Linked DNA regions of Coturnix japonica. The protein of the gene in region 1 binds, or shares a complex with, the protein of each later gene. Links are inferred from orthologs where the notes say so. Each region holds a gene or a part of one and is shown in the gene's direction. Other genes may lie near its edges.

Region 1 (4,303 bases):
AGTGAAGAATAAACCAAGAGGATAAGAAAGCTCCTGTAGTTCTTTTCTGTTGGTTTGGGTAGGGCTGGAAAACGACCAGATACAGCAATCATTACAAACAACACTGGCTCACAGGGATCCTCATTTCCCTTACTAACATTTTTCAGATATCCTTTTTGTCTTCTGCTTCCTTAACCTGATGGCTGCTCTGTTAAAAGCACAGCCAGATGTGCCAGTAAGATAAATTACCTGGTGGAAACACTGAATGAACTGAACATGGTAAGCAGAACAATCCTAAGTTTCTCATTGTTTCTCATAGTCTTGTCTCCACTGATGATGCTTCTCTTTGTACAGACATATGCTTTCTACCCTTGAAAAGAAGCACAGCACACTGAATAAATATCTTAACCAACTATGGAATAGAGGCTTGTCTGATAGATCACAGGCAATGTCAGGGACCTGAAGAATCCTATACTGAAATACTTGAGATTGTCCTGTATTAGGCCAAAATAGGTTAAGTCAAAATGTAAAATGGAGCCTTGATTTGTAAACAAAGTTGATCCATTTACATACAGGAATATATTATAGCAGAAAACCGTTTAAAGTTTAAATACTGTGCTCCTATTATGGGAATTGTTGAGTAGGCACAAAACACAACTAGATAGTTGTAGCTTTTTGGCTTTGATTGACATTTATAAGAAACAATTTTCCTACTCATATTGGAGACGTAACTGGCAGGAGAAAAAAACAATACATAGGAGGAAGGAAAACAGATTGGAAAAAGCTGTGAAAAACAAGGAATAGGTAGTGACAGATGTGGGAGTGAAGCTGACAAAGACAGGTTTAGAGTGAAGGTTGCCAGCTGTAGGAAATCATTCATTTGCAGCTGAGGATTATGCCAGGCAAGGAAGTAAGGCTTCTTTACACACTAATTGCACCTGCAGTGTAAAAGCCTGGACTTATAGGCATTGATTTCTGGAGCTTAATGGCACAGAGTTTCATTTTTGACCTTCCATTAGTGCTTTCCTTTAAACTTCATTTTGTTGAGTAGGCACAAAACACAACTTGCCACGAAGATGATTAGGGGGCTGGAGCACCTCCCACTATGAGGACAGGCTGAAGGGATTGGGCTTGTTCAGCCTGGGGAAGAGAAGGTTGTGGGGTGACCTCATGCAGCCTTTCAATACCTGAAGGGAACTTACTCCCAGGAGGGGAGTAAACTCTTGCAGAAAGGGCTGACAATAGCAGGACTAGGGGAAATGGTTTAAGTAAAAGAGGGAAGATTTAGTTTGATGTTAGGGGTTAGTTCTTCACTAGGAGAAGTGGTTAGCGCCCTGGAACAGGCTGCCCAGGGAGGTTGTGGATGCCCCGTCCTTGGAGGTGTTCAAGACCAGGTTGGACGGGGCCCTGGGCAACCTGATCTAGTAAAGGTGTATGTTTGGTGCCCTGCTAGGCAGGGGGGGTTGGAACTACATGATCCTTGAGGTCCCTTCCAACCCGGGTCATTCTGTGATTCTAGATAGACTGCTTTTACTGTGGAAGTAAGTTCAAAATAAGAATGTGCACAAGAATTCAAGGCAAGCACCTAGAAAGAGTGGAACAAGCAGGTGAAAGTGCAAGCATGTGTAAGACAGTTCTGAATGCTGTATGCAAAGCCACTGAATTGCAGACTACATCCTTCTTCTCATGAACCCCTCAAATATATATTTTTATACAAACCTCTGTAATAAGAGAAGAGAAGAGAAGAGAAGAGAAGAGAAGAGAAGAGAAGAGAAGAGAAGAGAAGAGAAGAGAATGACAAAACAGTTCAGGAAAACTGTACAGATTTGCCCTGTCTGAGCTTGTCAATCATGGGCATGAGTAAGTAGTAATATAGGAGTATAATTGGAGGAATATGTACCTTCAGAAGGATAACTGTGGTATAGTTACCAGACAGCTAAGGCAAAAAGCATTTTACAGCCACATTTTCCCTGATCCGGCTCTGGGAGTTGAGACCCCTGAGCTGAATATTGCCCTAGTCCATCTTCCTCAGTAGGACGCCTCACTGCTCTTTCTAATTATTTTTATCTTTAATTGCTTTTGTTCTTCATTGGAAGAATCCCTGCAGCCAACTGGCCTACCACTGTTTACCAATGGACATATTTTCCAGAGCAGATGGGACAAAAGTTGCTCCCCAGCTTGAATATAGACATAAACTAGTAGCCACGTGGATAAAAATGTCCGGTTTTTGTCTGAAATTGCATTTGGGTTTGTACCCACTGAGAGCTGCAGCAGGGTACGTTTCTGCTGTATAGTGTGTAGTTATTTAAAATGTAGCAGAAAAATTCCTTCTTGGGGTTTTTCAGCACTCATGAAGTTTTTCATTTAAGTTAAATTAGATGTACAGTAAAGGCAGCATTCAGAGGATTTAGATCAGTGAGATGTCTTTCTCCCCCCATATGTGACACATAGAGAAACAATAAAGGGAGAAGACACCAACTATTTAAGGAAGATGATTTCAAAACTTAGTTAATATTTTCCTGCAAGTATGTCTGTAAAGGTTTACAGTGAGAATAGGCATGGCAGAAAGACTTAGAATAGCCTACAGAGCAAATATGATAAGTAATTTAGAGGAGAAAATTTTTGTATTTACACATATGTATACACATCCCAAATATATATACCTCATCTCAAACCTGCTCTATAAGTGTATATATTTCATAATCATGTGGATGCTTAGAAAAACACTTTACTCTGGCATTGTTATATGGTGTTTAAGGGCACTAAAACAACACATCCATGACAAAAACATGACCTATGGCTTATTCCTACTTAAAACAGAAAATCAAAGTATATTCAGAAATGTATATTATGTTCTGGTTTTTCAGATTTGATTTTAATATTTCTCACATGATCCAATTTGAAATTTCCAGCAGTCTCTAAATAGTGTCTTGTGAATGAGATTTTTCAGCGAGAAATAACTGTTTTTAGTATTTAATAAAATAAATTATGTTTTCCTCTTTCTTTTGCCAGAGCATTCCCATTTGACTTCTAATAACACCTTTTATGAGTAATTACTAAGAATTAGGTGAAACTTTGAGGAGGTCTCTGTTTGCAAGCTATAAAATTGAAGTTGACGGTTCTGGCTTTCTTCACTGAACTGCAAACAAAATTTAAATAGGTAAGAAAACTGTACAGTTGTGGTTTGAGCAAATAGATGCACATCAGGTTTAAAACCAGAGTGAGTGTGAATAGAAACTGGGAGCGTGTTACTTGCATATTTAAAAGAAGCTTTACTTGCTTCAAGCAGCTTAAGGAAAAAGAGGTTTTAAAATGAAACACTAATTGTAACTGGACTTTTTTAATGCCTTTGTCATAAATACTTTTCCTTCCTCATTTTTTTTTCATTTCCCACAAGACTAAAAAAATAAATGTTACAGAATAAAGGGAAAATACTGAGAAGAAATTAGGTATCCAAGAAACAATGCAGTAGCCACAGCTCACACTATGACTGCTTTACACTGCTTTGTTTGTGCAAAGAATGCTTATTATCAATGACGGTGATTACAGGAAGGATGAGACCGGTATGCATGAAATTGCATATGTAAGATAATGCCTTCAGAAACACAAACTGTTTGTAAAAGCAAAATTGACCATACAACAACTAAGTGTATCTTCTTCATATACAAGGATTACATCCCAAAGATCCATCTTTGTCCAGTACATTTGCCCTATTTGTAAGCCCTTGGATATCTGGGAAGTACCATAGCATCCAAACTAATTGAGGTTTGCTGTAACAAAAAGTGAATGTAGGGAATTCTGAGCAGAATTTGTTCTCAGGGTTTTGCTTCTTCCTTCTTCTGAGAGTTGAATGTTCTCCTTAGCAGCTTTAAAACAGTTTTGTAATGTAAGCAAAGACTGAACAATGAAAATGAATTTAAAACTTACGTGCTTTCTGTCACATTAACTCCCTGCACAGTGTAATACTGTATAAACATAAGCAAATAGCCCAAACTAGCTAAAGCAATTGTTCCTCGGAGTGTGCTTTCTTAAGAATTATATAGAAAAAGCGTGGTACGATCAATAATTTTATCTTGTAACAGCCCATCTGTGGTGGAACTCTGGAAACTGCTATTTATTTTCAGTTTTTGAATAACATTTTGAAGTGACTCTCTATGGAAATACTATCAAATGCTCCCAAGAAAGCTTAATGTAATAGTTGAAACAAATCCAAGTATTTGGCATCTCTATTCTCTGTTTCTCAAAAAAAAATACAACTGCCTGCAGTCCAAAATGCAAAGATAATTGGCTAATTTGCAAATAAATATAAAAATTCCACAAATTA
Region 2 (4,250 bases), on another chromosome or scaffold:
AACTGTTATTGCAACTGCACCTTTCCCAGAAAGATGGTGATACTTTTCCCAGGCTCCTATGGCTCAATTCGCTGTTGACTATTTAATGGTCTAAGAGCCGTGAGCATCTTTTCCACTAAGAGTGAATCTGAGTTATCAGAAATGCCGGTTTTGTGGGTTGTTTTGTTTTGCTTTGCTTTGTGTGGTTGTTTGGTTGGATTTTCTTCTTTACCCAGAGAGAGGCAGCCATTAAACTGTTTTTTGGATGGGTACTGCTGGAACAGTTTCAGTGTTGTTCCTTCCCAGGAACATGAGCTTTCAACTTAATTTCCTGTTCTCAAAGGAGATTTGGGATTTGCTCTTTTTTTTCTAACTGCCTCAGGGATGGAAACGTCACCTAACGCTATCTGATGTGGGAGATGAGGGCCACAGAGATGACTGGAGCATCACCCTTATGAGGAAAGGCTGAGGAACCAGGGGTTGGTCAGCACGGAGGAGAGAAGGCTGAGAGGGGATCTTGTCAGTGCTCATAAATACCTGATGGGCTGGAGTCAGTGGATGGGGCCAGGCTTTTTTTCAGTGGTATGAAGCAACAGAACAAGGAGCAATGGGCACAAACTGGAACACAGAAATTCCACAAGGACATGAGGAAGAACTTCTTTACTGTGCAGCTGAAGAGCACTGAACAGGCTGCCTAGAGAGGTTGTAGAGTCTCCTCTGGAGATATTCAAGACCTGCCTGGACACTCCCCCACACAGCCTACCACAGAGGGACTGCTGTAGCAGGGGGTCGGACTAGGCGAACTCCAGAGTCCCCTTCCGATACATGTGATTCTGTGACGACAATCAGCCCTGCTGCTCAGTTCTGCCCTCCTTTTCAGGGACCAAGCCCCTGGTTAGAGGCTGAAACGTGGCGAGAACGCTTGCACAGCACCATCCCCTTCAACACTCTCTCTGCCATCCCTCCCCGCGCCCCATCCATCAGCTCGGGAGCCGTCGGGCCGCTTTAAGGGGCCGTGGGATACTCGGGTCTGCGGAGCAGCGCTGGGCAGCCCCAGGCGGAACCCCGCCGCCCTCTGCCGACAGCCGCTCGAAGAGCAGCGGAGACCCTCGAGCCGAGACCGGCGGCGGGCAGGGACGGGGCAGGGGGCACAGCCGGGCGGCACAGCGCGCAGGGGGAACGAAGTGGGGCGGAAAGGCCGTTCCCTGTGCGGGAGCCCCTTCTCCCCGCGGACACCGCAGCGCCAGCCCGGCACACGTGGCCCCGGGAGAGCAGCGGAGTCTTATAAGCAAGCCCGACTGCGCGCCGCCCTCCCCGTCCGAACTTCGCATCCAGGCGGGAGGCGGGGCGGGAGGGAGAGAGGGAGCCCCGCTCCCCCCGAGGCGGAGCCCGGCCGCGGCCGCCGCTGCGTCAAAGCTGTGCAAACACCGCCGCCGCTATTTAAGGGGCCGCGGCGGAGCAGCCCCCGACATCCCGCTTGGACGCACGGCGGCTTTCCGTGGTCCTCTTCACTCCGGCCTCGGGGAAGGAAGGGAAGGAGAAAGGTAGGGAGAGGCACTTGGGCGGTGCGGGAGCAGCCGCGGGAAGGACAGGTGCCCTTCGCTTCTGTGCGTTGCGAGCGGGCGGACGAACTTCGTTTTCCCTTCTTCCGAAGTGAAAAGGTGATGCTCGGTGCTGGGTTTCACATACGCGGGATAATTCACGCGTCTTTATGACGGGAAGTTGCCCTCCTGCCGGGTGCGTCGTTTCTCCTCTTAGCCCCGTTTCCAGAAGTGCTATTTCAGATGCTGTGCTCAAACTGTGCCGCTTCCCTCTGGGTTGTTTCATCCGATCGTTGTTTCTTTACGGAGGTGGCAAAAAATCGTTTTGTTTGAATTGTGGTTTGCACAGTTCCGGTGCACATCGTTGCTTGCCCTCTTAAATCAGGTGATGGGGTGGGGTGAGATTTTGGGGGTAACACAGCTTTATTCCTTCTCCTCTTGTACAAGACAGCTTCTTCAGGGCTCAATTTCAGACCAAGGAGGGGTGGGGGAGTAAACGCTCTTTGCTGGACGTGTCAGAATTGGGTATCTGTGATAGCAGCAGATTGCAGTACAGCAGCAATGCACGTGGCTGCCCGGACCCTGCGAGTTTTTGCAGAGCTGCGTAGGTTTCCTTTAGTTATTACTGGAATGCAGCTTCCAAAACAGAAAAGAACCACGTAAGGGAGACATAGCACATACTCGAGGAGAGATAAAACCAGTTCGCTGTGGTGTTACCTCCTCTTCCCAACAGATAGCTAATAGTCACGCGTACCTTCTAGATGAGAACAGATCCCACAGCATTAAACTGCATTAAAAGAACAAAGTTTCCTCAGAACGCAGCGCCTCCGAAGAAGACGGGGCTGGGGGATGACGCTCAGTGTGCTCCATCTTTCCGACCCCCTGACGTGCCTTTTCTCTCCCCAGCGATGTACGGCGGTATCTGCATCTGCGTGCTCCTTGCTGCGCTGTCGGTGAGCTCCTTCGGCCAGCAGCCCGCGGGCTCACACGATGGCAGCCCGCTGGCTGCTGAGCTCCAGCAGAGCCTGACAGAGCCCCACCGGCACAACCGCTCACCCTCCTCGGCGGGGCCGCTGAAACCCGCCCCGCGGCTGGATGGCAGCTTCGAGCAGAGGGCGGCTATCGGTGCGCTGCTGGCCAAGTACCTGCAGCAAGCCCGGAAAGGTACTGCTCGTCTGCTGCCTCTGTGGCACGGCTTTTCCACATACTAATCCTGCCATCATCTAGCACTAACTCCTGCATTCCTATAGGAGATAGGAAATAGATTTTGTCTGGCTATTCCCGAAGTAGAGACCATTTCCTTTCCCACTTACTGTAGAACTAAAAGGAAAAAAACCAACCCCAAAGCTATTGTTACATAGCAGTTGCCTTGGGACAGAATCTTGCAATTAATTAAAGCCTCCCCAGCATTCAGTAATGGGATCGTGAAGCTCCAGGAGAGTACTGGAATCACAAGGCTTCACCTTTATCGTGTGATTTATTAATTGCTTGAGCAAACAGTTGTTACCTATTTGAAATGAGTTACACCATGGGCAATGTAATTGCTCTGGCCACCAAGGGAGGAACGTAACTGCAAACCTCAAGAAAAAAGCACAGTATGGCTTTTGAGGTTATGCAGATCTTGTTTGCTTGCAGTAGCTTCTCTCATTTATCCCCTGGTAAAGAGATTGCATTAGAAGTTAGGATTACTTGGACATACAGGGAGTGACAAATTAATTGACTCCCAGCCCTGAAGTTTGTTTAGGATGAAATTTGCTTGATAATTGAGAGCCTTCTCCTCTCCTGTCTCTCCACACAATCATAATGCACAACATTTACTCCTCTCTCCATAGCCTCACTGCTGAGCTCTTTGCCAGGCAGCATCCCAGCTTTATTTTTGGTGGTTGCAATAAAGAGATGGCACCTGCATTTTATGCATTACGCATGCTGATGCACACATTCACCCCTGTATGCAGAGGAGGGTTGAATCAGAAACAACAGTAAAACACTTTTGATGTATTTGGAGGGACTTCTCCTCACACTATGAATTCTCACAGCATTACATTAAGGAATCCTGCTGGAAGAGTCTACAAGGCAGGCAAAAGTCTACAAGGTCTTCCTTTCCTTTCTCCTGTGTAGCTACAACATTCCCTTCCATTATCTACCTGATGTTTCCAAATAGCTTAACCAGGTGAGGTGAGGAAAAGGGTTGAGACTTAGGATGTATTTTTGGTAAGTGTTTAGGAGAATTGCCTGCATACACATTCATAAGTATGAATTTTTAACCCTACAAAATGACTCTTGAGAGGAGGATGGAATTCTTGTAGCATGACTGAGCTAGCTGGGCACCAGTGTGCAGATGTACTTGCTGGTACAGAAGAGAGTCAATACAACAAAGCAGTATTAATTTATATCAGTGCCAATCAACTGCTTTTCCGTAAGAAAAACCCAATTATATTCTTATTTAATATGAAAGTTCAGGGCAGCGCTTCAGAAATCTCTGCAGGACATTTACATCTGCTATTTTAGCTTGTCTGAACACACACTAGAAAATTCCATCTGAGAGGATGGGGAGGCTGGGCATTTACTAGCATTAGCAGTCAGCAGTGATGGCCTTTGCTCTTGTGGTTAATAGGAAAGCTTATTTTGGACAGTGGGAGTTAAATTCTCCCAGGAGGGTAGGGCTAGATGGCAGCCTTGTAGCCAGACTGCTGCAGTTCTGAAGCTGTTCAGTGTATGTTGATGCTGAAG

Evidence for each region.
Region 2: the proteins of CCKAR (region 1) and CCK are in contact, whole or in part, in a cryo-EM structure (PDB 7MBX), measured with the Homo sapiens proteins. The link is inferred for Coturnix japonica from reciprocal best matches to the Homo sapiens genes CCKAR and CCK. Residues at the interface, in NP_000721.1 of Homo sapiens: Cys94, Phe97, Asn98, Pro101, Asn102, Lys105, Asp106, Phe107, Thr118, Met121, Gly122, Val125, Tyr176, Phe185, Asn194, Met195, Cys196, Arg197, Phe198, His210, Leu213, Leu217, Ile329, Phe330, Ala332, Asn333, Arg336, Ala343, Glu344, Leu347; in NP_000720.1 of Homo sapiens: Asp96, Tyr97, Met98, Gly99, Trp100, Met101, Asp102, Phe103.

Annotation. Positions count from the first base shown.
Region 1 is NC_029519.1:66,250,624-66,254,926, forward strand, and holds the start of CCKAR (cholecystokinin receptor type A), read left to right. Parts: upstream 1-1,444; 5' UTR 1,445-1,839; intron 1,840-2,991; 5' UTR 2,992-3,139; intron 3,140-4,303. UniProt on the Homo sapiens protein: Receptor for cholecystokinin. Mediates pancreatic growth and enzyme secretion, smooth muscle contraction of the gall bladder and stomach. Has a 1000-fold higher affinity for CCK rather than for gastrin.
Region 2 is NC_029517.1:40,254,311-40,258,560, reverse strand, and holds the start of CCK (cholecystokinin), read left to right. Parts: upstream 1-1,338; 5' UTR 1,339-1,523; intron 1,524-2,424; exon of another isoform or gene 2,425-2,426; 5' UTR 2,427-2,428; coding exon 2,429-2,684; intron 2,685-4,250. UniProt on the Homo sapiens protein: This peptide hormone induces gall bladder contraction and the release of pancreatic enzymes in the gut. Its function in the brain is not clear.